4 linked regions of the Diceros bicornis minor genome follow. The protein of the gene in region 1 purifies or fractionates together with the protein of each later gene. This does not show direct contact. Links are inferred from orthologs where the notes say so. Each region holds a gene or a part of one and is shown in the gene's direction. Other genes may lie near its edges. The genes, in order: PARP1, TOP2A, JUN and RPA1.

What was found.
Region 2: the proteins of PARP1 (region 1) and TOP2A purify together in Homo sapiens (co-immunoprecipitation; 3 studies listed by BioGRID and IntAct, with this or other methods). This does not show direct contact. The link is inferred for Diceros bicornis minor from reciprocal best matches to the Homo sapiens genes PARP1 and TOP2A.
Region 3: the proteins of PARP1 (region 1) and JUN purify together in Homo sapiens (co-immunoprecipitation; 3 studies listed by BioGRID and IntAct, with this or other methods). This does not show direct contact. The link is inferred for Diceros bicornis minor from reciprocal best matches to the Homo sapiens genes PARP1 and JUN.
Region 4: the proteins of PARP1 (region 1) and RPA1 purify together in Homo sapiens (affinity purification with mass spectrometry; 3 studies listed by BioGRID, with this or other methods). This does not show direct contact. The link is inferred for Diceros bicornis minor from reciprocal best matches to the Homo sapiens genes PARP1 and RPA1.

The regions. Positions count from the first base shown.
Region 1 is NC_080777.1:7,605,055-7,612,498, forward strand, and holds the start of PARP1 (poly [ADP-ribose] polymerase 1), read left to right. Parts: upstream 1-4,433; 5' UTR 4,434-4,482; coding exon 4,483-4,602; intron 4,603-7,444. UniProt on the Homo sapiens protein: Poly-ADP-ribosyltransferase that mediates poly-ADP-ribosylation of proteins and plays a key role in DNA repair.
Region 2 is NC_080757.1:39,912,633-39,919,786, reverse strand, and holds the start of TOP2A (DNA topoisomerase 2-alpha), read left to right. Parts: upstream 1-4,152; 5' UTR 4,153-4,248; coding exon 4,249-4,269; intron 4,270-5,123; coding exon 5,124-5,279; intron 5,280-5,496; coding exon 5,497-5,587; intron 5,588-5,885; coding exon 5,886-5,949; intron 5,950-7,154. UniProt on the Homo sapiens protein: Key decatenating enzyme that alters DNA topology by binding to two double-stranded DNA molecules, generating a double-stranded break in one of the strands, passing the intact strand through the broken strand, and religating the broken strand.
Region 3 is NC_080752.1:20,478,469-20,485,042, reverse strand, and holds JUN (transcription factor Jun), read left to right. Parts: upstream 1-4,100; 5' UTR 4,101-4,314; coding exon 4,315-5,319; 3' UTR 5,320-6,071; downstream 6,072-6,574. UniProt on the Homo sapiens protein: Transcription factor that recognizes and binds to the AP-1 consensus motif 5'-TGA[GC]TCA-3'.
Region 4 is NC_080757.1:15,951,114-15,959,037, reverse strand, and holds the start of RPA1 (replication protein A 70 kDa DNA-binding subunit), read left to right. Parts: upstream 1-4,924; 5' UTR 4,925-5,000; coding exon 5,001-5,033; intron 5,034-5,422; exon of another isoform or gene 5,423-5,500; intron 5,501-7,924. Other genes in the region: SMYD4 (SET and MYND domain-containing protein 4), read right to left, coding at 3,081-3,214. UniProt on the Homo sapiens protein: As part of the heterotrimeric replication protein A complex (RPA/RP-A), binds and stabilizes single-stranded DNA intermediates that form during DNA replication or upon DNA stress.

The DNA.
Region 1 (7,444 bases):
TAATACAGGAGTTCAACAGAGGGTTTTGAGCAGGGTAGAAGTCATAATCAAATTTATTAAAAAAAAAAAAAAAACTTTGGCAATGGATGTGTTGGAAAAGGGAGAGAAGAATAATGCTGAGGGGAGAAGTGGTGAAGACAATGGCAGTGGGAGGGATTGGAAGGGTCAGGAGAGGAAGCAGACAAGGCTTAATGGGCAAGTCCCTAGACCTTTCCAGCTTCATGTTCTTATCTGAAAACTGGGATTTAAAAACACCTACCTAGAGACATTGCCAAGGCAAGTGAGAGCTGATGGGCACTGGGCCACTCTGTGCCTCGCTGAGGAAAAATAACTAAGCACAGGCAAAGGAGACCCTAAGAAGCCTAGAGGCAAAATGTCATCACAGGCATTCTGCGCAAACTTGCCAGAAGGAGCACAGGAAAAAACATCCAGACGTTTCAGTCAGCTTCTCAGGATGTTCTTTAAAATGGTCAGAAAAATGGAAAGCCTTGTCCGATAAAGAGAAAGGAAATTGGAGACACGTCAAGAGTGGACAAGAGCCCTTGTAGAATGAAAACTTGTATCCCTTCTAAAGCAGAAACAAAAAATTCAGGGTTTCCAATGCACCCAAAAGGACTCCTTTGGCCGTTTCCTCAGTGTGTTCCAAGGATCGGCCAAGAATCAAAGGGGATCCTGGCCTGCCCGTAGGCAATGATGTAAAGATCCTGGGAGAGGGCCCTCCCAGTGGCACAGAGGTTAAGTGCACGTGCTCTGCTGCAGCGGTTTGGGGTTCGCAGGTTCCCATCCTGGGTGCGCACTGACGCACTGCTTGCTAAGCCATGCTGTGGCAGCGTCCCATATAAAGTAGAGGAGGATTGGCACGGATGTTAGCCCAGGGCCAATCTTCCTCAAGAAAAAAGGGGAGGATTGGCATCAGATGTTAGCTCAGGGCTAGTCCTCCCCACAAAAAAAAACAAAAACAAAAACAAAAAAAAAGAACCTGGGAGAGACATGAGCCACAGCGCTGCAGATGGCAAGCAGCCTGAGAAGGCCGTTCAGCAGAAGGAAGGATCTTGCTGCATCCTGAGCTAAAGGAAAGCTGATGTGGCACAAAAGGATGCTGTCAAGGCTGCTCACAACTAGAAAAAAAGGTAGAGGAGAAAGACAGAGAAGGAGAGGAGGATGAGGAGGAGAAAGATGGAGACGACAGAGTTGAAGACGATGATGATGAAGAATAAGGTGGTTCTAGGTCAGCTTTTCTTTCTCTTTCTTGTCCATTAAGCATTTAACCTCCATAATTCATTCCTTTAAAGAATAAAAATTGAAAGATAAAGCTGTATAAGATATGTTTTTAAACTGTTGTGGTTTTTTTGATATTGTTAACAAGAATTACCAAGTAATTCTTTAGACAACCCTGACCTGGTGGTATTTTCAATAGCCACCAACCTCACCGGGGATATAGTATGCGGGTTAGGAGTTCAAAGCAGGTTCTCGTTGGTGCACAGTACAGATTAACTAATCTGTTATACATGGGCATGGTAGTTTTATCAACTTCAATTGTCTCTCACGCAGCTTGTATGAAATAATTGTTGTTCTGTTAACTGAATACCACTCTGAAATTGGGGGATAAAAAGTTACAGCTGTTTTGTGGACAATCTGAATGCTTCTAAGTAAATACAGTCATTTATTAGTTTTTAAAGTAACCTATTTCATAGCATTATAATGAGGAGCAAACAAACTTATGTTTATGAATGCCCTTTATAAAATACAAAAATCTATATAAGTGTGAAGTACCGTTATTATTAAACAATTGGGCTGTGCAGAGGAAGTGTCAAAGGTGTGATTCATTCATTCATTCAACAAATATTTTTGAATGCTTGGCACTGTGCCAGGCACTGAGGCTAGTACAGAGAGCAGAACAGATAAACCCCTGCCCTGGAGGAGCTTGCATGCTGGTGAGGGAGACAGACAATAAACACATGCATATGTATAAAATACGCTGTTAGGAGTAAGAAGTAGAAAGAAGAATATAAAGTAAGACAAGAAGATAAAGACAGTGTGCAGAGACTAAGCATCTTAGCTGGAGTGGTCATGGTAACGTGTGAGCAGAAGCTGAATCAAGAGAGGAAGTGAGCTGTGTGCTCGCTGGGTGAAGACTGTTCCAGAAAAAATAAATGCAAAGGCTCTGGGGTGGGAGTGGGCTTGGGGTGTCTGAGGACCAGGCAGGAGGCCAGTGTGGCTGGGGCAGCAGGAGCCCTGGGGAGAGGGTGATGATGATATCAGAGAAGTGACCAGGGTTCAGATTCAGCCGCAGGAAGAACTTTGGATTTTATTCCCAGTATGAGGAGAAGCGTTTGGAGGGTTTTGAACATGGAAATAATACGGGTTGAGATCTAAAGCGACCTCATGTGTTTTCACGGGAAGAAAAGACTGTAGGAGGGCTGGCCTGGAAGGAGACCAGGCAGGAGACTGTGGAGGAACCGCAAAAGATGATGGCACTCCACAGCAGTGCTGATGGGAAGGAGGTGAGAAATGATTGAAGTCGGAAAGTCAGGATTCGGTGATGGATTGGATGTGGGACGGAAGAGAAAAGGAGTCAAGTCGACTCTAAAGCATTTGACCTACACAATGTGGAGAATCGTGGACCATTTCCTGAGATGGGAAGCACTGGGGAGATTTTGGACATTGTTGGAGAAGCATATATGACACCCAAACAGAAGTATTGACTAGGCAGTAAGATATGGCTGGCTCTCCCTAAAATTCTACCCAGGTATTCCTAATCTTGTGTGTGTTTGCCCAGGACCCCATTGCGGGTGCAGTGAGGTCTAAGAAATTCTAATGCGATGGTAGCTTCCAGATACGCTATCAGGCAAGCTGTCCCGGAAGTCACAAAACAGAAAGCCTCACAGACCAAATTAAGACGCTTGAATTACAGGTTTATTGAATCACCTGAAACACCTGATTTAAAGTTCCTGCAGCAAAGGGAACAGCATGGGGCAGATAACACACACAGGACAGGGAACAGGCAGGCGGAAGGACCATACCACCTGAATGTCCATATGTTCTGTCTCTCTCTCTCTGCTGCATCAGCCAGCCCCCCTGATGATGGGGTCACGAAGACCAGAGCTGAGGACGCTCAAGGCTACTCAATAGAGGGTACCTGGAGCCACTTCACAGTCACCTATCAGAGAGACACAGGGGCAAGTACGCCTGGACATGGATGTAGTTTGTCAGTCAGCCTGCTGAACAGACATGGGTTTTATCTGTAACTCTTGCGCAAATCAGACGGAGCCAGAACGGGACCATAATGTTATCACCAATGAGAGGCCTTTTAGGGATGACATAGTTGTCAACCCAGACGTGGGATGATCATGCCTTTTGATTTGGTTACTCTCTAAGTAAAATTCTTATTTGTACCATCATATATTCCACCTATTCTATTTACCTTCGACATATCTAACAGGTCATGAATTTAGGATTCTGCCTGTGTCTCATAACCCACTTGCCTACTCCACACCCAAGTCTCTTAAGCTACTAGCTTTCTTCTTCTCTATGCTTAACAGGTTTTATGAGTCTCATTCATCCCGTTTCCTTTTCTTGTCCTCTATAGCAGAACTGAATATTCTCAAACACAGCACTCTCCGTTATAATGTTTTAAATGAATAAAATACAATGCATAGGGTTAAAAAAAAGAAACCAGTTATATAAAAACATAGTTCTACACTAAATAACGAGATCTAGTACCAGACGGTGTAGTAACGACAGCAATTGCAAGTAACGATGAACTTAATATTTTGAGTTCTCTCCAACAACTGTAAAGGGCCATGAAAACCTCTGTGATGACTACTGCCGACATAGTCACAGGTACTGCTAATACTCCCAGGATTTGCATCCATGCATTTAAAATTCACAGTGAAGGAGATGCTAGAGCTCAGTTCGTACTCGGTCGGGAAGGTCTGCGGACTGTAGTTAGAACCCCCGCCGAGGGTCAGCCAGCGTTGACCCCTCTCTAGCAGAGCAACCACATTCCCGGGCCAGCCGCGCGCCTTCCAGACCTGGGCGCGCTCCGGGGAGAAAGGACACACTTATTAAAAGGGATGGAGGTGGAATTAGTTGTGAGAGCACGCAAGCCTTGCTGGCGACGAAACGGTTAAGCAGGCGCCACCAGGTCCCTCCGAGACCTCCTCGCGCGCGGCCTGCCCGGCTCTGCGCGCAGCCGCAGGCGCCGGGGAGGCGGCACGCCAGGGCCGGCAGGGGGCGCGCGCCGGGGCCCCGCCCCGTGGACGCGCGCGCGGGGGGCGTTCCCGCGGCGGGCCAGGCATCAGCAATCTACCCGGAGCGGCGGGGGCGTGCGCGGCGTGCGCGGCGGCGGCGCTGCGAGCTCGGGCGCCGGCGGGGGGCGGACGGGCGCGCGCGCACGCGGGGCGGGCAGCGGCGGCAGCGGCGGGGCTCCGGGGCGCGGCGTCGGGCTCCCGCGGCTGCGGCGGCGCGAGGACCGGGAGGATGGCGGAGGCCTCGGACAAGCTCTACCGGGTCGAGTACGCCAAGAGCGGGCGCGCCTCTTGCAAGAAATGCAGCGAGAGCATCCCCAAGGACTCGCTCCGGATGGCCATCATGGTGCAGGTGCGGGCGGAGGGCCGCTTTGTGCGCGGCGGGGGCCTCCGCGTGGCCGGGGAGGGGGCAGGGCTTGCGCGGAGCGGAGCGGCGGCCCGGGCCTGTGGGCGCCGCTGCCCCTCCTCCCCCGCGTGGCCCGCCGGGCGGACCCTCCCGCAAGCTTTTGCTGATCTTGCAGGAAAAGCCCGGGAAATGCATTCTTGAGCTCGTGGACCCCTTCGGTTTGTAAAAACAAGGAGCGGTTTCTATTTATATTTCTGGGGGGTGGAGTTCTGGTTTTTTCATTGCCCTTCGCCTCGGGGGGAGAAAATGTGTGCACGGTCTTTGGAACCTAGTCAGGTTTTGACCTACCTTGTCCTGGAAGATTTTTTTGTCCTACATTGATGGTGGCGACTGGCGCGGGAGGATTTTTTTTATATATCTATTTTTGGCTCTTTCAACTTCGACTCACTCTCATTTTTTTTTTAATTATGCAAAACCACACAAGTCGGTGTCATTTCTGTACAGGGCATTGACTTTTGGCCTAATTTGTGGTTGAAAATAACATTTTCCCCAAACTTTCCAGGTTCACAGACGCATTTTCTTCTTGATGCATTTGCAGCTATCTGGTTTGAGTAAGAGGGGCTCCGGGATTCCTCACCTGGGCCTCTTGACACATTGGGGATCCCCCCTGCCCCGTGTTCCCTGAGGCTTCAGAGATGGCTAGTGGGTTGCTGGGTGGGCTGTGAGCTGTGTCTGAAGGCCCCTGCTGACGCTGAGGGGTCCCTGCCTCCTCCAGCTTCCAGCCTGCTCCTGTCTGCCGGTGTAATCTTGGTTCTCATCTGCTCTGTCATCTCCTCCTCCAGCTTAAAGCTGTCTGTTATCCAGACTTGGTGCATAGGGTCAAGATGGCTTGGTTTTCCCTCCCTGCAGGAGGGCAGTAGCATGTTTTAGGAATGGCTGGACAGCCCTCTCTGGATTTCCACTTACGAGGTGGAAGAGAGTGGGTACCGAGTACTTAGGGTATCTCATTTTGTAATGTGTTAGGGACTGAGGCTGCCATCTCGGTATCCTCAGGGCCAACCTAGCTCAGTACTCGGCACACAGTACTCATTCCGTGAACACTCACTGAGCGCCTGTTGGGTTCCAGGCACTGTGTCAGGTACCAGAGGCACAAAGAGAGACTCCACCTTTGGCAGCTTCCAGTTTTGTTAAAGGGAAGGTGACTGATGAACACTGCTGTACCTGGGTGGGTGCCACCTGATGGAGCTGTGCATTAGGCATTGTGTGCCCAGGATGGGAGCTTGATTAGAAGTCATTAGTCCCAGTGGCAGGAAGTTGAGGATGGAGAAGCAGGCGAGGCCTACCACTTGAAGAGCCGTGTCTCCCACTAAGCATCTTTGAACTTGACCCTGAGTGTATGGGCGGCCTGACCTTACGAAGCTCCCTCCTAGTGCAGGGGGCTCCTAACCTGGAGTCTGGGATGGCGGATAGAACTCAAGAGGTCCCTGAGTTTAGATGATAAATTTACATCCCTATGGTCACTAATGTCTAGATTCAATTCATTATTTCCTCCAGTTATGAATGTAAGCAGCAAAGCAAAGGCCTAATAGCAGTACCTTGATTTTTGTCATCAACAGTAATTACAGATATTTTCATATCATTTTACGTTTGTTGGGAGTTTCCCAAAATATCATTTATGCTCATCACTACTTCAGAATTACAGTAGGTATTACAGCGGGTGCTAGATCTCTTTATTTAATGCTTTAAAGCTCGTGGATTACTGTATCCCAGTAAGCTTTTTAAATGTTTTGATAACTGTTTCAGTATATTTGGTTTCCTTGGTGAACCTGTGTATTTTGTTATGCATTTTTAAGTGTTATCCAAGGAAGGGACATGCATAGGTTTCACCAGACAGCCCAAGAGAACCCTGTTCTATTGAGAAGGACAGACAGAAACCCCATATCCAGCCAGTGTGTAGAGGCAGGAAGGGCACTGTAGAGAGGAGGGCTAGCTGTGTCTGGGGGAGTCGGGGATGGCCCCATTGAGGAACCGACTCCTGAACCAAATGAAGTTTAACATTCCGGGCCCTCGTTTGGCATACTTGATAGAGAAAGAAATTATTATTAAAAGTAAGTGTGGTTTTCTGTAATAGTTGGTGGGGGTGGAGTTTTAATCCAGAAAGTAATGTTGGTTTTGTTTGCTGAGCTGGCAGAGGCCAGAAATAAAGAAGCCATTCTTCTCCTACTTGGATTTAAATACCTTCTTTTGCATTTGTATGGGAGGATTGTTCTCTTGAGTATCAAATACGTGATACTTTAACTGGCTTGCCCGGGGGCAGCCTCAAGGGGACGGGACTTCCAGCCTTTGGACTGGGAGGGGGTTGTGGTGGGCTCCTGTGTTGTTCTGTCTTGGGAGGGCTTCAGGCACCCAGCGTGGTCACATACAGGGAGGTGACAGTCATTCTGCTCTCTGTTGGGTAGGCGGGCAGTGGTGTGTCCTGTTTTACGCAGAAGGAAGCAGACAGGGCAGCTGAGTGAGGACGCTGTTACGGGGTAGGTTCTAAGTGTTTGCTGATTACACAGCCAAAGATTCTGCCATGCTTGAGCTGTGCGGCTGCCAAGCAGTCTTGTGACCTTGGTCTGGTTCCCTTCCTGCCATGTCATCCTGAGTCCTAAGTTCTAGGGTAAAGCTTTGCTTTGGTCAAGGATTCTTTCCTCTCGAGAGAGAATGGGGGCCCTTACAGTGCCCCAAGCCTGTGCTATGAGTACACCTCTGCTGCTTGGCACTGCCCCATGGTTGGGGGCTGGTGACGCAAATAATCCATAGTCAATCTATAAATCAAAATTGGGGTGAGTTTGTTACCGCACAA
Region 2 (7,154 bases), on another chromosome or scaffold:
TCTATAATGTTAAATTTTTCAAATAGAAGAGAAAATATGAAAAGTTTTCCTCCTCCTCCAACTATTTACAATTCCTTCCAGATGTTTTCACTGAATACATAAACATTTACTCTAATGCAATTATGCTCTACATTCTATTCTTCACCTCACTTTTTTTAAACTTAACAATATATCTTAGTGATATTTCCATATCAGTATATCTAGATCAACTTCATTCTCTTTAATAGCTGCATGTCTTTCCATTCCATTAGATTGCTGCCAGTTCTTTTCTAATAAAAAACAATATTGCAATAAATAACCTTGTGTGTGTGTATATATATATCTTTACACAATTGTGGGAGTGTATCAATATTCCTATAAGTTAAATTGCTGAGTCAAAAAGTGTGTACACTTTTAAAATTTTGATAGATACTGGACTGCCAGACTGCTGAGGGAAACACCTGATTGGACTTGTTGGGGACAAATCCCTGGTCCTGAGCTGATCCCTGCTAGAACTTCCCTTGCTCTCCTCCTAGCTCTGTCTGGTGGCCCTCAATGTCCCTTTACCTGGGGCCACTAGTGATCTGAGGAGCAGACCTGCAATGCCACTAGCAGAGAGAGGCTGAGCTCTATGGGACATTTTGGGTTTTCTTGGCCTCCTCCAACCAGAGGCTGGTATCCCTAGTAAAGAGGACTGATCAGACCCTGCCAGTCATTAACCTCAAGGTAAACAGGGCCTATTGGCAGAGCCCTAACCACCCCAGTACCCTGGCGCTGGCCCAGCCTCATTCAGGAATTTCCAGTGAGTTCCAGCCTAGCCAGCTCCATCCCCCAAATCCAGAGCCACACTTTCAGCCCAGCCGCCTTTGCTCAGTCAGCCCGCAGGAGGGAAGAAACACTGCCCTTTCAAAGGGAGCTCCCAGGTGGAAGATGGAGACACAATTCCTTCAGGACCCCCCTTCCCCTGACACAGAGTGGAGAGACAGGAAACACAACATTTATCAAAGGAACTCATCTGCGTATGCAAATATACTCCGAAGGACTTGAGGGGGCCTCAGTAAAAAAGATGGTCTGAGAAGACTCCCTGGACAGGGGAATTTTGAGTCGGTTTTGGAGGAAAGAACTTGGAGAATTGACAGGGGAGTGGGAGGAAGGTCTTGAAAAGTAGAGGTAATAACTGCTAACATGTTTTGAGCACTTACAACTCGCCAAGCAATGCACTAAGCACTTTACATGTGTTATCTCACCCTGTGTGGAGGTACTCATTATCCTCATTTTAGATGAAGAAATGAAGGCACGGAAAGACTCAGTGACTTGCCCAGGGTCATACATTTACCAAGTATTGTAGTCAAGAGTCTGACCCAAGTACTACTGAACTTGGCCCCTACGAGTGGGGGCAGGGATGGGGACAAGGTCCAGAGTAGCTAGTTTGGGCCCCTGCAGAGTTGGCGGAAAGTGGGAGGGGCCGGGGATAACGAGGATGATGGCTGCCCCTTCTCCCCACCACAGCCCCTGGAACTGACTCCCGACCCCTTCTTGCCTTCCAGCACTAGCAAATGGCAGTCACCTGGAATTCCCTCTTTGTAGACAATGCCTCCCAGGTCCGCCCATCCCAGACTTCCTTCAGTGGCCCCCTACAAGTCCTGCAGGACTCCCTGTGATAGGCTCTGGAAAGGAGGAGAGGCTGACAGAGAAATAGCTTGTGTTCCCCCACAAGAGAAGGGCCCTCCAATCATCCCACACACATACACACACCAAGGACATTCTGTGCTAGAGGTCTGGAAGATTGTTCTGGGTGCTTCCATATTTCATTTAGCCCTCTATACCTTTGATAAAGGCTAATGACATGGGGAAACTGAAGCTCAGGGAGATTTCTGACTTAGACATATGTGACTCAAAGTCCTTTTGACTCCACAGTTCTGCTTCTGGGTTTTTGGAACAGAGACCCACACAGTCAGGATCAGGCTAAACTGCAGGGGAGATTTCAAGCTGGGTCCCAGGAAATAGGGCTGGTGCTGCTTATTAAATTCCTGTTGCCTCATCCCCAGACAGATCTCGCAGGGTGCTGCAGGCTGGGATGAGCTATAGGGTGGGAAGCCAAGGGAGGCAGAGGCTGGACTGCCATCCTTGGGGAAGCAGGCCCACCCTCCCCTACCACCTGGGGCCTCTGTGTTCCAGGAGGTAGAAGGCAGCACAGCTGGTCTCTGACTATCAGGGTCATCCTCTGTCCTGGGAAAGCTGCAGAGAGTGACAGGCTGGCCCTGGAGCCCAGGGCCTGGTCAGCCTTCTGATGGGCAGACGCTACTGGATGGGCTTCCCTACAGCTGCTCTGAGACCCTGGTGGTCCTGTGCATTGAGACTGCCTTCCCCTATCAACACATGTGATGAGCAGAGTGGAGCTGAAGACACTCAGGAATTACTGGAGGCCAGGAGAACCAGAGGACAGGGACCAGAGCAATGCCAAAGCTCCATTCCTTTGGTTTTCCCAATTACCCTAGCCAGTGGGCTACTTCCATCCTTGACTACCTGTCACAACACACCACCTCTGCCCTGGCCCTCCCTGGGGCTCTGCCAGCAGAGTGGGCATTGAACATGCTGGAGTGATTCAGTAATTGGTTGACCTCTGATTTCTTTTATTTATTTATTTATTTATTGCTGAGGAAGATTTGCCCTGAGCTAACATCTGCTGCCAATCTTTCCCTTTTTTTTCCTTTTTTATGTGAGCTGCCGCCACAGCACGGCTTCTAACAGACAAGTGGTGTGTGTCCACGTCCAGGAACCAAACCTGGACCACAGAAGCGGAGGGTGCAGAACTTAACCACTAGGCCACCGGGGCCGGCCCTGATTTCTTTGAGAAGAAAAAAAAAGAATTAAGTCCACAAATTGTCACGGTAACCTAAGGAAAAATCCCTGCTTCCTGATTCTGATACTGTTAGCCCACTATTCTAAATGTCTTACATGTATCTTGTGTAATCCTCACGCAACTCTGAGGTGATACTGTTATTTTTATTTCCTTTTTTTAGCAGAAGAAAGGAAAGCACCAAGAAGCTGCCTCCGTCAAGATCACACGGCTGGCAAAATGCCAGGCCAGGATTAAAACTCACGGAATAGTGATTGGAAGGAGGTGGTTCAGATGGTCAAATTATGCGGTTATTTTTTCCAGCATCTTGTAAGAGCGTGTTTTTTTTTTGGGGGGGGGGTCATTTGAACACTGTGGATTGACGAGGACAGAATAACCCCCCTCGAAATTTACACGTCAGAGTAATAAAAAACTTCGGTCTTTGGCATTTCCTCGTCAAATCTCAACCGCTGTTCTGGACCGCAGAATTCAGGGACTTGAACACAGAGGAGAGCAAAAGTAACGCATGGTAGGGCATCCTATTGGCAGTCTGAGGGGAAAGTTCCAGTCCTAGAACGGCCGCTAAACCATCCTTAGCTCCTGAGGCGGTGACTATAAATTATTCCTTTTAATTGAGCAGTTGCAGCCCAACGCCCCTCTACTGGGGGACTTGAATGCTGCTCTCTATTTTGCGCGGCCTCTCTACACCCTTCTTTATACGAAAACTAAAAACCACAACTGTAGCACTTTTGTTTCTCTAAAAACACGCTAAATTCTTGGGGGGGAGGGGAGGTTGAGGAAAAGGTCAGATCCTGTTCGCTTAACCAAATCGCCAGGAAGCCGGCGCTCGGTTTCCTCAGGAAAATGGAGATAGCGCTCCCGTTCCTCTCACTAAAAACCTCAGGCCGGAGGACGGCGTTTAGATTTCAGGGATCTGAAACAAGTTAGCAGCTCCTGGGGAATAAACATCCGTCTCCTTCCTCTTTTCACCCCAGCCTGCACCTCAGAAAACCCCTTCCCGCTTCCACAGTTTGTCTCTTCAGAGTTTTCTGCTCTGAGAGAACAAACGAGCCCTCCTCATTGGCCAGATTCCCTGTCGGTCTCTCAGCAATTGACTCCGAGTGGTGTCTTTTGAAACCTCCTAGTCCCGCCTCCCCTGCCTAATTGGTTCATTCGACTGGGCCAACTCAGCCGTTCATTGGTAGATATAAAAGACTAGCTACGATTGGTTCTTCGGGACGGAACCGGTGAGACCGAGTCAGGGATTGGCTTATCTGGTTTGGGCGGGCAGGAGGATGGTTCAAATGGGACTGCAGGAGCTCGCCTAACCGACGCGCGTCTGTGGAGAAGCCGCTGGCTCCGGGGTCGTCTCGTGCGTCCCGCCGGTTTAGTCTCTTGCAGGGTTCTCGAGCCCCTTCCCGACCGTCACCATGGAGGTGTCACCACTGCAGGTACAGCTCGCGGAAGAGGCGGGTCGTGGAGCGGTATCTCTGGCTGCCGGTGAGGGGTGAGGCTCCTGGGCTGTGGCCAGGCCGCGGTGGGCTGGGAGCCGGTATTCCGTGTCGACCGTGGTCTCCCGGGCTCGGCGTGATCGTGAGGAAAGTGAAACCCCCTTATGGTGCTAATGTTGAAGCATTAGCGGCTAAACGGGCCCCTAGGGCGTTGTGTCTTGTGTTACTGTTTTTAAGGACAGGATTCACTTGGTCCTCTAGTAGATCTGAATTACAATGGACCGCGTGTGACTTGAAGCTGCGCATACCAATGCTTTCCTCTCCTACCCTCCGCTTGAATAGGGCGTTGAATGTCTCTGACCTTGGAGGGTGCAGAGCACGGCACAATATTCCCCTTAAGGAGCCGGCAGGCCCGAGTTGCTCAAAATATGTCCTTCCAGTGTTCAAAACGTTAACTTGGCCAGAGGATTGAATCGATAGCCTCCCAAACGGCTGCTGAACTGGAATCTGTTAGTGCCTGGGACGTGGGAGGCACTTAGTAAATATTTGTGGCACAGGTGAAAGAAGTGGGTGTATTTTATTGATAAATAAAAAGTTCCGAGGAAAATATTTCCATGTCAAATACACTTGGTGAGATCATATGTGTCTATTCAAACTGCCACCTGGGGACCTGGCTGCAGTTACCTTAAAAGGCCGTGTTTGCACAAAACAATGTAAACGTCGCCAATACCTACTGACAGATTGCAATTTGTTGTAGTGTGTGCAAGCATATCATTACGGTAGACGTTTCGTTTATAGTTTCTGATAAACCTATGATTAAAAATCTCTTTTCTTCAATTTTTTTTAATTGCTAGCCCGTAAATGAAAATATGCAAATCAACAAAACAAAGAAAAATGAAGATGCTAAGAAAAGACTGTCCGTTGAAAGAATCTATCAAAAGAAAACGCAGTTGGAACATATTTTGCTCCGCCCAGACACCTACATTGGCTCTGTGGAATTAGTGACCCAGGTAAAACCAAGCTAATGACATGCAGTTAGTAAGTAGTTAAAATGTATACTTTGCCAGGTTAATTTTCTACACTTCATGTACTTTGAGTGTCACTGGAACTGGCCTAAGCTATCATATATATATTGTAGTATTTACCCCAGAACACTTTATAGTAATCATGATGATAAAACAATAAACATAGGGTAAAAATGACTATATTTCTTTGCCTTATTTCTAGCAAATGTGGGTTTACGATGAAGATGTTGGCATTAACTATAGGGAAGTCACTTTTGTTCCTGGATTATACAAAATCTTTGATGAGATTCTAGGTGAGTAGATTCTTTCGTATAAAGATCTACCAGTCAAATCCTTCATAAAAAATATTCCTTACTGTAGCCAGACCTTCTGTTATTTCAAACAATAGTTGGCAAAGGTGAGACAGTCTACTGAAGTCTAGGAAGTTGAATTCTGTTCTAAGAACAGTACTCTGAATAAAAATTGCTGAATTAACACCTCATTAATGCTACTCCTGTGCTATTTGAGATTCTTCTTTCTATATCTTAGAGTTAAAGAATGTTTTTTTAAATACTTTAATTTCTTACAAATGTGTATTTTATTTTCTTTCAGTCAATGCTGCAGACAACAAACAAAGGGACCCAAAAATGTCTTGTATTAGAGTCACGATTGACCCGTAAGTCTCTTGGTCTTTTGTTTGTTATAGCTCATTGTTACTGTTAGTTGCATTTACTTGATTTTTAATGAGGTTGGCTTTTTTAATTTTATTTTTTATTTTATTTATTTATTTATTCCCCCCGCCCCCCAAAGCCCCAGTAGATAGTTGTATGTCATAGCTGCACATCCTTCCAGTTGCTGTATGTGGGACACGGCCTCAGCATGGCCGGAGAAGCGGTGCGTCAGTGCGCGCCCGGGATCTGAACCCAGGCCGCCAGCAGCGGAGCGCGCGCACTTAACCGCTAAGCCACGGGGCCGGCCCGAGGTTGGCTTTTTTTAAATGAAAGTTTGCAAAAGCACAGAAAGGCTAAATGCTAAAATGGACAATCTACGATACCTACCACCTAGTTTCAACAGTTATCAACACTCTGCTATATTTGCCCCATCTATATTTTTTCTGAAGCATTTAAAAATATATTACAGACATTATCCCACATCATCCCTAAATACTTCAGTAAGCATCTCCAATAATTGCTGTAAGTATTCTGGGGTCTAGATCTTTTTCTCCTGATGCTATTCAAATAGTAAACCAGCAGGTGGTGACAGAATAATTTGATCTAATGTTTCAGCTTATAAATATTGGGTGTCCTTTTGTGCGTGGTCAGCATCCTTGTTTCACCTTTTTATTGGCCTGATCAATTATAACATAAACTATACTTAAGGCTTTTTTTGGGAAATGTAGGTGTTAATGATGTACTTAAATGCTCTTAAGGACTCGATATCATTGTCTTAAAAAATAATGAGCTAGTTTTAGTCTTTTTTATAGATAATACTAAGTACTACTTAGAATAAGAACCATTTTATATATTATCTTCTGAAAATTAACTTAAAATAAGAGATGAATAAGTCCAAGTAAATGTTTAGCATTTTATTGGCAAGCAGGGAAGGTTACAGTTGATAATGTTTTTCCCTTTCATATTTGTTTTGCAATGTGCTTTGTAGGATGGAAAAGCTAGGGGAGCCAGGACAGTACAGATGATCCTCCTAAAAGCGGTATAATAATATTGTTTCCAAATTTTGTCCTTTTCTTTCCATTGGGCATAAATCATTTCCCTTTGTTTATCCCAACATTTTAAAACTTCATATTTTTTCAACATTATCAGTGTCTACCCAGATGTTGGAAAACGTTTAAGTTTTTCTCCTTTTGGCTCCTATTTCAGGAGT
Region 3 (6,574 bases), on another chromosome or scaffold:
CTCAGAGGGCAGAGCCAGGGGTCATGGAAAACAATGGATAGGGCAGCTACACTCAGGGAGCAGAATCAGGGTCTAATCAGGGTGTTGGGTAGGGGTCCTCCACATGTCTGCTCAGTGGACTAGTGTCTACTGTGGTCTCCCATTCCTTCACTTTCCAAACCGTGTGTCCATTGCATTATCCTGTCTCTCTCCCACCATCACATATTGAGGGCGTGCAGGGTGGATATCTTGCCTTTAGATGTAGAGTCTACTACGCATCACACGGACCTGAAAAGTCCTCAATACCCTGTGACTAGATGAGTCTTTAGAGTTTTTAGAGTAGATGAGTCTAGATGAGTCTTTAGTGTCCCCCTTGAGGAAAGAATGAGGGAACTTGCCTGTGGGAGGATGGTAAGCCAAACATTTGGTGAACAGAAAGGGGACTGCTAAGAGTCATCTGTGTTGTTCCCCAAATATTCCTGGCTCTCTCCCTTTGAGATACTTGGCAAGATTACAGAGGGGTAAAGTTAGGCATGGCCACCTGACTTGCTCTGGCCAGTGATACATGAGCAAAAGTGTAGTGTGTCACTTCCAGGTGGATGCTTTAAGAGCCCTTGAAGGATCTGCCACCCTTCTCTCCCCCAAGCCAAGACAGTAATGAGAAGCGTGCGTCAGGAGGCAGCCTTCTTCAGCTGGAGCCCTCGAGGGACCACAGCGAGCAGAACTCCTCTGCAGACCCACAGTGGGCATGCAGCATGAGCAAGAAATAAACTTCCCTGGGGTAAGCCACTGAGGTGTGAGGCCTGCTTGTTAGGGCAGCATAACCCAGCCTTTCCTGACATACTGGAAGCCAGAAATGAGGCTGGAGAGCAGGAGCCGGACTGTGAAAGGCCCCTTCTCCCAGGCAAAGGCATCTGAACTCTCTCCTGGTTGTATGGGGAAGCCAGTGGAGGCTTCCAAGCAGGGGCGTTAACATGAACAGATCTGTTATTTTTTGGAATGAAATATGCTATTTCTCAACATAAGGAGAAAATCAGCCTACTAAACCGCATAAGGCAGAGAGGAACACACAGAACCCTTAGGCAAAAGATATATATTTATACAAAGCCTAAATCCTGAAGTTTCTAAATACAGGAGCTCTGAAAGGAGGCCCTGAAAGGAGTTACGGAGGTTCAGGCAAGACAATTTCTTCTATCCTACCATCTAAGCGCCATTTCTTCTGCAGACAACTAATACTTTACAAGAAAATCTCCCAGAGCAGAGAAGATACAACAAGGGAAGGTAACAGACCCAACTTCAATTTCCAGCTCCCTGTGTGACCTGAGCAAGATACTTAACATCTGTGGGCCTACTTCCTCATATGTTAACTCCAAGACAGTTGTGGGGAGAAATGGCATAAATTGCAGGCGAATGCCTGGCTGATAGTAGGTGTTTAATACATGAAATGTATTTTTGTTACTGCTATCATAAAAGTTATTAAGAACATCAGCTCCCTGATTACAAAAGAAAATGATTCAGGGCAACAGTATACAGAATGCTCCCTCTTTGAGGGAAGTAACTGGATCTTGTCATCACTGTATCCCGTTCCCGCCCTCACCCCCACCCCAGCTCAGGGCCTGGCTCACAGGAGCCACTAGGGTTTTCCTCTGCTGTCCCAGGCGAGAGGGGAGCGCCAGGAGTGAAGAAAAGTGCTCAAGACTTCCCTGACGCTGCTGCTGCTGTAGGGCTGCTGATTCTCAACTCTCAAAGCCACAAACACCTTAAGGCTTGCGGCTATGAATCCAAGGATTGCCCCACGTTCTGAAGCGGAAAAGCAGCACTAGAACTTAAGGACGTAAGCTGCTCCAAGTCCAGCTTCAAGCCGCAGTCCTCGACGGAAAGCCCAGGAAAGAGCTGACTTCTGCCCCTTTCCTCCTCCCAGGAGGAAGTACACCTGGTCCTTCCAGATCACACTCGCACGTCCTGGCATTCCACTGAGGCTCTGGGAAACTCCGAGGGCGGGCAGGGAAGGGGCGGTCTGTGGACCACCGGCTAGCCCGGGAGGCGATACTACACTAGCTCAGCCCAGTGAGGTGGAGCTCACCGGCCCCCCGGCAGAGGAAGGAACTGAAGCTCCCAGAAGTTCGGGGATTTGCTCCCTTCACACCGTGGCAGCGCGGGCCGCGACAGAATCCACGACTCCCGGCCTCGGGATGCTTTCCACTATACACTTCTGTCCCTATGGGGTACGGGGTGGGGGAGGATAAAGTAAAAAGCACAGAAGAGGAACCACTTCCATGTGTCTAGCGCATCCTAGAGGCTACACAGCATACGGGCCCACCTCCGGGCCGGAACGGGGAGACTCTCAATCCTGGTTCTACCCCGGCCCCGGCGGGACTCTGGCGGGCGTCCGCCGCCCTCGGAGTTGTTTTCCCGGAAGCAAATCGGGGCGTGAGGAGTGTGTGTGCGTGTGTGCGCGCTGTGCGGGGGAAGGGAGCAGATGCTCGCCGGGGTTCCCCGAGTTTCGGATTCCCTCAACTCTCATTCCCAGCTGAACGCAGAGGTGCCCCTAATTCCACCCCCATGACAAGCCTGCTCTGGAGGCAACGCCGCGACCCCGCACCCTCTCCCCGCAGTCGGGGGTGCGGCGGGACTGCGCCGGCACCCAGTTTCGAGCCGTGCACACCGCCGGCTCCCGGGCGCAGCCGGACGGCCGCCCGTGAACTTGACCGGGGGACAAACTCCCGAGCGTCTCAACGCGGGGGTCCGCCCTCGCAGGGCCGCCCTCGCGAGGCCGCCCGGAACGGGAGCCCGCCTTCTCGCGCCCATCCCCACCGGGACTGAAGAGACCCCTTAAGGGCGTGCTCCCGCCCCGGAAGTGCGGGGGACGGGCCCAGGCCTCAGCCTCCCGGCCCGCGCGGCGCCCAGGTGCTCATGGGTGACACCGGGGCCCCGACACCTGGCCCGTCCCCAGCCTTCGGGTCCCCGCACCCCCGGCACCCCCGCCCGGAGCCCTGAACTTCAGCCCGCCTCCATCCGAGGCTGCGAGCGCCGCGTCCGCCCCTCGCGCGGCAGCCACCGTCACAGTCAGTCAAACCCCAAGACGTCAGCCCACAATGCACCGGGCGGGCCGGGAAAGACGCGCCGGGGGAGGGGCACCGGGGAGGGGGGGAGAGGGCGCGAGCCGGCGGGAGGGGGAGGGGGAGGAGGAGAAAGAAGGGCCCAACTGTAGGAGGGCAGCGGAGCATTACCTCATCCCGTGAGCCTCCGCGGGCCAGAGAAGAATCTTCTAGGGTGGGGTCTCCATGGCGACGGGCGGGCCCGCCCCCCTGAGAGCGACGCGAGCCAATGGGAAGGCCTTGGGGTGACATCATGGGCTATTTTTAGGGGTTGACTGGTAGCAGATAAGTGTTGAGCTGGGGCTGGTTAAGGGCTCAGAGTTGCACTGAGTGTGGCTGAACCAGGGCGGCGGGAGTGGCGTGCGTGGACTCGGCGAGACGGGCAGTCGGGACGGCGCTGGAGTCCGCCCCGCACATCTCACTTTCTTCTCCATTTCCTCACCAACTGCCCAGAGCTAGCGCCTGTGGCTCCCGGGCTGGTGTTTTGGGGAGCGCCCAGAGAGCCCCTTCTCCAGCCGCCCCCAGGAGGAGAGCCCCGCTGCCTGGGCGCTGCTGACAGCGCGGAGAGCGGCGACTGTCGCCCGGGAAGTCCAGAGAGGGGCTGCAGCGGCAAAGAACTTTCCTGGCCAGGAGGACAGGGGACAAGTGGCCCCCGGGTCCCGGAGCGAACTTTTGCAAAGCTTTCCTCCGCCTGAAGCGGCCGCGGCGGCGGAAAGGAGAGAGGGGCGACGCGCGCTCCGCCTCGCTCGCACCGGTTGCTGAACTTGGACGAGCGCGAGCCGCGGCTGCCGGGCGCCCCCTCCCCCTCGCAGCGGAGGAGGGCACGGTCGTCGGAGTTGGGCGGCGGAGACCCGCCGCCGGCCGGCCGCTGCGGGGTCCGCGCTGATCGGCGCCGCCAGGAGCGCCGCTGTCGCCGGGCAGCGAGTTCGTCCGCGGGCCCGAGGCACCGCTGCGCCGGAGCGCGCTCCGTGAGTGACCGCGACTTTTCAAAGGCGGGCAGCGCGCGCGAGCCGGCGAGTGAGAGTGCGGGCGGCGTCTTCACCCTGCGTTCCCTGGAGCGAGGCGGGGAGGCGGGCGCAGCGGCGCGGGCGGCCGGCGGGTGCGCGCGCTCCTAGAGAAACTTTCCTCGCCCAAGGCCCGGGAGGCGCGGGTGTCCCCGCTTGCCAGCGCACTGTTGCGGCCCCGAAACTTCTGCGCGCAGCCCAGACTAACCCTACGTGAAGTGACGGGCTGTTCTATGACTGCAAAGATGGAAACGACCTTCTACGACGATGCCCTCAACGCCTCGTTCCTCCAGTCCGAGAGCGGCGCCTACGGCTACAGTAACCCCAAGATCCTGAAGCAGAGCATGACCCTGAATCTGGCCGACCCGGTGGGCAGCCTGAAGCCGCACCTCCGGGCCAAGAACTCGGACCTCCTCACCTCGCCCGACGTGGGGCTTCTCAAGCTGGCGTCGCCCGAGCTGGAGCGCCTGATAATCCAGTCCAGCAACGGGCACATCACCACCACGCCGACTCCCACCCAGTTCCTGTGCCCCAAGAATGTGACCGATGAGCAGGAGGGCTTCGCCGAGGGCTTCGTGCGCGCCTTGGCCGAACTGCACAGCCAGAACACACTGCCCAGCGTCACTTCGGCGGCGCAGCCGGTCAGCGGGGCGGGCATGGTGGCTCCCGCGGTGGCTTCGGTGGCGGGCGGCAGCGGCAGCGGCGGCTTCAGCGCCAGCCTGCACAGCGAGCCGCCTGTCTACGCCAACCTCAGCAACTTCAACCCGGGCGCGCTGAGCAGCGGCGGCGGGGCGCCCTCCTACGGCGCGGCCGGCCTGGCCTTTCCCGCGCAGCCCCAGCCGCAGCAGCAGCCGCCGCAGCCGCCGCACCACCTGCCCCAGCAGATCCCCGTGCAGCACCCGCGGCTGCAGGCCCTGAAGGAGGAGCCGCAGACGGTGCCCGAGATGCCCGGCGAGACGCCGCCCCTGTCCCCCATCGACATGGAGTCCCAGGAGCGGATCAAGGCGGAGAGGAAGCGCATGAGGAACCGCATCGCTGCCTCCAAGTGCCGGAAAAGGAAGCTGGAGAGGATCGCCCGGCTGGAGGAAAAAGTGAAAACCTTGAAAGCGCAGAACTCGGAGCTGGCGTCCACGGCTAACATGCTCAGGGAACAGGTGGCACAGCTTAAACAGAAAGTCATGAACCACGTTAACAGCGGGTGCCAACTCATGCTAACGCAGCAGTTGCAAACGTTTTGAGGAGAGACTGTCGGGGGCTGAGGGGCAACGGAGAAAAAACAATAACACAGCGAGACAGACTTGAGAACTTGACAAGTTGCGAGAGAGAGAGAGAGAGAAAAAAGAAGTGTCCGAGGACTAAAGCCAAGGGTATCCAAGTTGGACTGGGTTGCGTCCTGACGGCGCCCCCAGTGTGCACGAGTGGGAAGGACTTGGCGCGCCCTCCCTTGGCGCGGAGCCAGGGAGCGGCCGCCTGCGGGCTACCCCGCTTTGCGAACGGGCTGTCCCCGCGCGAACAGACGGTAGACTTCTCTTTAACATTGACCAAGAACTGCATGGACCTAACATTCGATCTCATTCAGTATTAAAAGGGGGGAGGGGGAGGGGGTTACAAACCGCAATAGAGACTGTAGATTGCTTCTGTAGTACTCCGTAAGAACACAAAGGGGGGTGGGGGGCGGGAGGGAGGTTTGTGAGAGCGAGGCTGAGCCTGCAAATGAACTCTTTCTGGCCTGCCTTCCTTAACTGTGTATGTACATATATATATTTTTTAATTTGATGAAAGCTGATTACTGTCAATAAACAGCTTCATGCCTTTGTAAGTTATTTCATGTTTGTTTGTTTGGGTGTCCTGCCCAGTGTTGTTTGTAAATAAGAGATTTGGAGCACTCTGAGTTTACCATTTGTAATAAAGTATATAATTTTTTTATGTTTTGTTTCTGAAAATTCCAGAAAGGATATTTAAGAAAATACAATAAAATATTGAAAAAGTACCCCTCCCCCAACCTCTTTTCTGCATTATCTGTAGATTAGCTATCTAGGCCGAGTTGAAAGAGTTAAGAATGTCAATTAAAATCACTCTCAGTGCTTCTTACTATCAAGCAGTAAAAACTATTCTCTACTGGACTTGAGAAATAACTGTAGCTAATGCTGTTATCAAGTTATACTCTTCCCTCCCCCAAGCGTCTATATAGAGCTGCTTACAAAGGGTAGTGTGGTTTCAGGAGGCTGAGGGAAGGGAGGTTGTGGTGGAGAGGGACAGCCCGCTGGGGAGTCAGACACTTTAAAGATTATATCATGTGGCATGTGCTGTGACCATTTTTGACATTAGAAATTTAACAATAGATTCTTATTTTCAAAGCAGGAACGGTGGCAGAGTTTTACAAAAGATGTGTCTTTCCAATTTGGACTCTTCACTTTAACAATTCCTAGATAAAAAAGATGGTCTTTGCTTATGAATATTTATAACAGCATCCTTGTCACAATAAACGTATTC
Region 4 (7,924 bases), on another chromosome or scaffold:
ACTGTCTTCCTTGGTGAACTTAACCAGTTTCATGGCTCAAAATGCCATGTACAACGCCCAGATTTACATCTCTAGCCCAGGCCTTTCTCTTGAACTCCACGACCACTTGGACATCTCCACTCGGACGTCTCATAGACATCTCAAACTGAAATATGAACCCCAGATCTTCCTTCCTCAAATAGCTCCTTCTGCAGCCTTCCCAAGTGACGGTAATTTCATCCTTCTACCTTTGGCCCTTTAGGCCTAAATCCCTAGAGTCATGTTTTACTTCTCTCATTTTCTAACACACCATATCCCATCCATCAGGAAATGCTATTAAGTCTATCATCAGAATCCAACCACTTCTCATCACTCCCCCACTACTACCACCCTGGTCCAAGTTACCATCACCTCCTCTCTCACCTACATTCATGCAGTAGCCTCCCAACAGGTCTCTTTATTTCCACTCTTGCTCCAGCTATAGTCTATCATCACCACAGTGGTCAGGGCAATCCTTTAAAACAGGGGTCAGCAAATGTTCTGTAGAAAGCCAGAGAGTAAATATTTAGGCTTTGTGGGCTAAGAGGTAAAATTGAGGCTATTACATAGGTACTTCTATAAAAAATAAGGAAACACATTTGTAAAAACTTTTTATTGACAAAATTCAAAATATAATAATAATTGAGTATAATATTTTTATAATACAGGTCTACTAATGAGAAAAACGGAATTCTTTTTTTTAAAAAATAGATATCAATTTGCTTAACTGGAGTTCAAAGCCAGTGTTCCCTAACATCAAATCAACCACAAACGTTTCTCTGTAAAAACCATTCTTAGTTGATGGCCATACAAAAACAGGCAGTGGATGGATTTACTACACAGGCTGTAGTTTGCTGACCTCTGCTTTAAAAGATAATCAGATCATATCACTCTTCTCTTAAAACCCTGTGAATTAGTTTTCTATTGTTACGTAACAAATCAGCACAAATTCAGCAGGTTAAAACAACACCCATTGACTATCCTCACAGTTCTGTAGATCAGAAGTCCAGGCAGGCTTGACTGGGTTCTCTGCTTAGGGTCTCACAAGGCTAATCAAGGTGACCACTTACACGGAGGATCTGGGAAAGAATCCTCTTTTAAGCTCATTCAGGATGTTGACAGAAGCCAGTTCTTTGTAACTGTGGGTCTGAGGTCCCCATCTCCTTGTTGGCTATTAGCCAGAAAGCACTCTCAGCTTCTAGAGGCTGCCTGCATTCTTGTCATGTGGTCCCCTCCGTCTTTAATGTCAGCAAAAGCACATTCAAATCTCCTGCTTTGAATCTCTCTGATTTCCCTTTCCACTACCAGCTGGAAAAAATTCTCTGCTTTTAAAGGTCTCATCAGACTGGGTTAGGCCCACCCAGATAACTGTATCTCAAGGTCAATTTATTTAGGATTTTCATTACATCTGCAAAATCCCTTCACAGCAGCACTTAGGTTAATGTTAGATTGAATAACCAGGGGACAAGAATGCCGTGGGCCACCTTTAGAAATCTGCCTACGATACCTTGCAATAACTTCCTCCTCAGAGTAAAAAGACAAGGCACTTACAAGGGCCAACACGATTTGTGCTACCTGCTTTCCCCGAGCCCCTGTGCATGTCCTATTACCTCTCTGATGTTATTTCCCCCTACTCTCCCTCTGGCTTACTCTGTTCATCCACACTAGCCTTCCTGCTGTTCTTGAACATGCCAGACACTCTCTCACCTTAGGATCTCCACCTGGAACGCTCTTCTCTCAGATATCTACTTTGTTAACGCCTGTATCTCCAAGACTTAGCTCAACTTTCACTTTTTCAATGAGGCCTATCGGACCAGACTATTTAATACTACAACCCGCACTCTTGCTCTTAGCACTGTCTGTTTCCCCTACCCTGTTCTTTTTTTTCCTTCTGTACTTATCACCTTTAACACGTTATATACTTAACTTATTTATGATGTTTATTGTCTGTTCCTCCTCGCTAGAATTAACCTCTCAAAGGTAAGGATCTTTGTCTATTTTTTGTTTACTGATGTATTTTTTTGTTCACTAAACATATAGCACAGTGGCTGGCACAAAATAGGTGATCAACAAAAATTTACTGAATCAAGTTTTGGGAAACTCCTGTTTCAGTTTTCTACATATGTATATGTGTACTAGGTTGTGATGCAAAGTGTATTTCTTACTGAGGAGTGTAGTCAAGAGAGTTTGAAAACTACTGGGATTAGACTATATGACCTCTAAGGTCCTGTCAAATTTGAGCGCTTATGAATTTCTACGTGCAGCTAATAAATCTCCGCTATATCCTTTGGGATATGGCAGGGCTCACAGCCTAGTGACTATAGCAAGGCATGATTATTGAAACATTGTACTGACACTGAAAAAGCTAAATAGCATCCCTACCTGTTCTATAACAGTAGGTTAGAAAACACTGATAATAGCAAGAACTGCTGAATGCCCCCAAATATAAAAATCTGAGCTTAATCCTTCCATTAAAAAGAGATATAACTTGGGGCCGGCCCGTGGCGTAGTGGTTAAGTGCGCGTGCTCCACTGCTGGCGGCCCGGGTTCAGATCCCAGGCGTGCACAGACGCATCGCTTGTCAGGCCATGCTGTGGTAGCATCCCACATAAAATGGAGGAAGATGGGCACAGATGTTAGCTCAGGGCCAGTCTTCCTCAGCAAAAAGAAAAAGAAAAAAAAAAAAGAGGAGGATTGGCATGGATGCTAGCCCAGGGCTGATCTGCCTCACAAAAAAAAAAAAAAAAAGAGATATAACTTGAAAGCAAATGACAAAAGAGAACATTTTGCAGATCAAAATTTCCCTGGTTAAAGCTTCCACTCATGGGGCCAGCCCCGTGGCTTGGCAGTTAAGTACGCATGCTCTACTGCTGGTGGCCTGGGTTCAAATCCCGGGTGCGCACCGAGGCACCGCTTCTCCGGCCATGCTGAGGCCGAGTCCCACATACAGCAACTAGAAGGATGTGCAGCTATGACATACAACTATCCACTGGGGCTTTGGGGAAAAAAATAAATAAATAAAATCTTAAAAAAAAAAAAAAAAAAAGCTTCCCCTCACTTACTGAAGAAGCGAAGAGGAGTGAAGAAAAATATCTCTCACAGTCTCTGCTGTAGAAATTGTGACCTGAGTCGACATCGGGAGCAAAGACCACTTCTGAAGGACATACGATTTCCACTCATCCACGGGCAGATCCATGTTACTTTAGATCTATAAAACGAATAAGAAAATGAGGAATTCAATTTGTACAAATGCACAATTCTAGTCAAGATTTCATTTAAGCCAGCATGAAGCAACAAAATCAATTCTCGTGGTCTTTTTCTATAGCTGTTTATATGCTGAGGAAGGATCTATATTCTCTCACACCAATTCACTCAACATCCTTTCATTCAGAAATATTTACCGAAAGCCTACTTTGTTCTAGGCACCACTAGGTGATCAGCTAGCCACGATCTGTCCTCTTAGCCCTCCATCTACCCTAGGCTCAAGTCAGAAACCTGAGAGACATCCCGATTTTCCTTTCTCACTCTGCCCAGCAACTATTAAGTAAATATCTCTCTCTAGTTCGGTTTTTTCTTATCCCTAGGTCATTCCTTTAGTTCAAGCCCTCACTATCTCTTGTCTGGCATTCTTTCTAGAGTGTCATAACTAGTCTCCATGCCCTCAGTAACACCCTCCCCCCATTCAATCCATCTTCCACAGTGAGGCAGATGTCAGTCCTTTGCCTTAAATTCATCAATAGCTCCTCCTAGCACAGGGAAGCCAAGTACAAATCCCTCATTATTTGACCCTTGCCTTACTTTTTTTTGTGAGGAAAATCTGCCCTGAGCTAACATCCATGCCAATCCTTCTCTTTTTGCTGAGAAGACCAGCTCTGAGTTAACATCTATTCCCAATCCTCCTCCTTTTTTTTTCCCTTTTTCTCCCCAAAGCCCCAGTAGATAGTTGTATGTCATAGTTGCACATCCTTCTAGTTGCTGTATGTGGGATGTCACCTCAGCATGGCCACACAAGCATTTCGTGGGTGCTCGCCAGGGATCCGAACCTGGGCCCACCAGTAGGAGAGCACGGGCACTTAACACGGGCCGGCCGGACCCTTGCCTTACTTTCTAATGCTCAAGTCTCACTTCTTCCTCTGTATCCTACTATCCTGAGCTACTCAAAGCTATCCCCAGCTTGCCAGGCTGTTCATCTGCCTAGTTTTTGCATAAACTATTCATGCTTCCGGGAGCATCCCTACCCTCACTTGCAGTCCAGCTGGCAAATTTCCACACATCTTTCAAGACTCAGTGCAAATGACAACTCCTCCGGGAAGCCTTCCCTGATTTTCCATCCGTGATCACAGCACACTGTCTCTCTCTCCTGGGGCCCATACCCCGTCTACCTTGAGTTACGGCTACTCACAGCGGAAACTCCTGGACAGACTGTGCTCTCTGAAAGCAGGGACCGGGTCTTATTTACCTTCAGAGCCCCCCACTGTGCCAAGCGCAGGGTCTGGCACCGGCGGGAGCTCAGCACCGGGCTGCTGAAGGAATCAAGTCACTGCTTCGACGACATTTAGCAGCAGAGTTATCAGGGAGCAGCACTAATTCTCTGGGCTACCTGTCGGTCTGCCCGCCAAAGACTGAGCCGGTCTGTTTCCGAAACCCAGCTCGGAAAGCTCCCGGAACTGGCCACCCGCGCGCTTCGCTGCGTCCGCGTCACCGTCGGCGCGCCCGGCGGCCTGGCGCCCCGCCCCCGGGCCCCGCCATCCTGCGACCAGGCCCCCAACCTGGGCACGGGCGGATCACCTAGGCCGCCCGCCGCGCCTCGGCCAATGAGAGGGCTGCTCGGCCCCTAGGCCCGCCCCTGCGCCGTGCGCACGCCGGGAGGCGGGAGCGGCGCACGCAGCGCCTCGGGCCAATTGCTTTGGAGCGTGGGGTCCCCGGGGAGTGAAGTGCGGGCTGCGCAGAAGCCGGAGCGCGGGAGTTGGCGCGTTGGAGCCATGGTGGGGTACCTGAGCGAGGGGGCCATTGCGGTGAGAAGACGGCCGCGAGCCGGGCCGGCGGGCTAGGGTGGCTCTGCGGGTGGAGAAGGGGGAGAGGAGCTGGGGGCCGTGGGGAGAGAACGCGAGAGGAGGAGACAGCGGGCGCGGGATGCGGGGGGGAACCGCCGGCTGACTCCCTAGAATCACACGGTTTTTCCTATCGTCTTGTAAACATGCTCATGTTTTTCCTGCTTAAGAAAACGAAGCAAAATAAACTGTTGATTTTCCATCTCCCTCCCGCGCCCTCTGTCTCCTCCCCTTCCTCCGCCCACGGCCAAACTTCTGCAGACTTGTCTGTTTTCAGCTATTTCATGTCGTCATCTCCCATTAACGCTTTAACCGACTGTAGTCGGTCCCTTCTAGGATCACATAGAAGTAACCTTGGCTGAAGGTAGCAGTCCCTCCAAGTCGCTAAATCCAATAGACAGGTTTCGGTTTTCAGTTTACCAGCGTTCTCAGCAGCGTTTGAGTCTCTTGAGTATTCTTTCTTTCTGATAACACCCTCTACTGTTGGCTTTTGTGGCTCAGGTGGGCTGGTCTTTCCCAGTCTTATTTGCAGGTCCCTCTTTGTAAATTTCTGTTGACTCATGGCTGTTCTCTAGGCTCTATTCTCCCAGGACAACCTCATTACCATCCATATGTCAATTGCTCACTAATGTCTTTGTCCGGAGCCACCTTTACTCTGAAAGACAAACCTTTGTAATCTGTCTGCCTACCTGATATCTCAAAGGCATTTTAAATTCAACATGTCGCAAAGCAAATACATTATCTTCCTAAGTTTGGGCCTCTGATCCCCAGCTGGATGAATGGCACCATTATCCGTTAAGTTATGCTAGCCAGAAATTGTGGAATCATTCTTCCTACAAACTCCATCAGCCTGAGGTCCAGTCCATCACCAAGTCCGGTGTGTTTTACTACATGTATCTCTTAAATCCATCTACTTCTCTCCATCGACATTGACACCATCGTTTCTGGCCTGGACTACTCACTTCCATCCGGCATAATCATCCTCCTGCCATTCCCATCATAGCATATTCCCACTTGTTCTCTCCTCCTTTCCAGGCTTTTTTTTTTTATTTAAGTTCCTGGTATATTCCATACTCTTGCTTTCCACAGGGCCTTTGACCATTCTTTTCCCTCTGCCTACTGCCTAGGTGGCTCTTTAGTCTCCCTTCAGTGGCTAACATAATCTTCATATCTCAGCTCAGTTACTTCTCAGAGAAACCTTCTTTGACTTCCCTTGCTAGGCTAAATCCCTTTATTTTGAGACCCTAATTCCTGTTTGTTCACTTATTAGCTGTTATGATTTTGGGCAGGATACTAAACTCTGCCTTTCCTCTTCTGTAAAATGAGACTAATGATACCTAGTACTTCTTGCCTAAGGTTAGTGGGAGGATTAAGTGAGCACTTACATTTAAAGTGCTTAGTCCCTGTCTGATACAGAGTAAATGCTCAGTATATGTTGCCTATTATTAATAATCACAGATGTAATTTTACATTTATTTGTTTATTTGATTAATAACAGTTACTTTCTGTCTCCCCCCCAATTGTAAATTCTTTGAGGCCTGAAATTATGCCTGTGGTTTTGCTCAACATAGTCTCTCCAGTACCTGGAGCAGTGCTGGCAAGTTTGAGGTGCCCAGTAAATGTTGTCTAGGTGCCTATGAGGCAGTGAAAAGAAAGGGGCAGAGATGGATGGGGAAGAACAGTTGGCAGAGTCGAGTGAATATTTGAGTAAATTAGGAATAATTAGTCCTGAGAAGTGATTGCGAATTGTAGTCCTCATTTACTTTACAGCTGCTACCTTATGTCTTGAAGACAAATTAGGAATTGTTCTTCACTTTTAAAAAGAAGGATCCTGGTGTTATTTAAATAATTTGATTAGTTTTTGCTATATTCAAAATTTTGGAAACATTTCCAGTGTTAGGTGAAGTATTACTTAGGTTTTATTTATAAATGACCAAGAAAATTTTTGTGTTTGTGGTGACGGAGTGTGGAGAACCCTTGTCAATTTTGATTACCGGCTAAAGCAAGTAGTGTCATTTCAGTTCAAAAGACACAGGCCTGAAAGGATAAGCAACTAACACAAATAGTAGAGGCATTTGGGGCAAGAGCTAACATCATGAAATAAGAGATTATGCATGGAACTATTGTGGTAAATAGAATAAAGAGCATTTGTCTCGTAAGTAATCGGTAATATAAAGAAAGGGGAAGAGAACTAATTTTTGACCATTTCCAGTGTGCCAGATACTTTATAGTAGTCACTATTTACAGTAACACTGTAAGGTAGAATTTTATCATTACCCTCGTCTTACAGATGAAGAAATTAAAGTGCAAAGAAGGTAAATAATTTGTCAGTGGGGTGAGGATTTGAACGCATGTGCCCTTGACTATTACATTCTTTTGCTTTGTATTTCTGTTAGCAATGTTAGTTTGGGAAAGTTAAGGCAGTTTTGTCTCAAGTGTACATATCATGCTATATGTCCTAGAAGAGTAAATCTTATATTCACTATTAATGATGACACAAATTAAAAAGAATAATAAAGTAATACTTGCATGCGGTTTTCAAATCAAATAGAACAGAAAGGTGTTTGATGAAGTTACTGACCCACTGCCCCACCTTGCCCCAGTTCTGTTCCCTAGAAACAGCTACTTTTTAAAATCATGTTTATTGAAGTTCAGTTTGATTTACCTGTAATAAAAACTATAATACATATGATGAATACATATAATAAAAACTCATCAAACTGTGTGCAGTTTGTTGTATATACTCCTGTAACCACACCACCCCAGTCTCCTGCTGCTTCCCCATCCCCTGCTCATTCCCAGGCACCACTGCTCTGGGTTCTGGTGTCTATCTCTTTAAGTTAGTTTTGACTGTT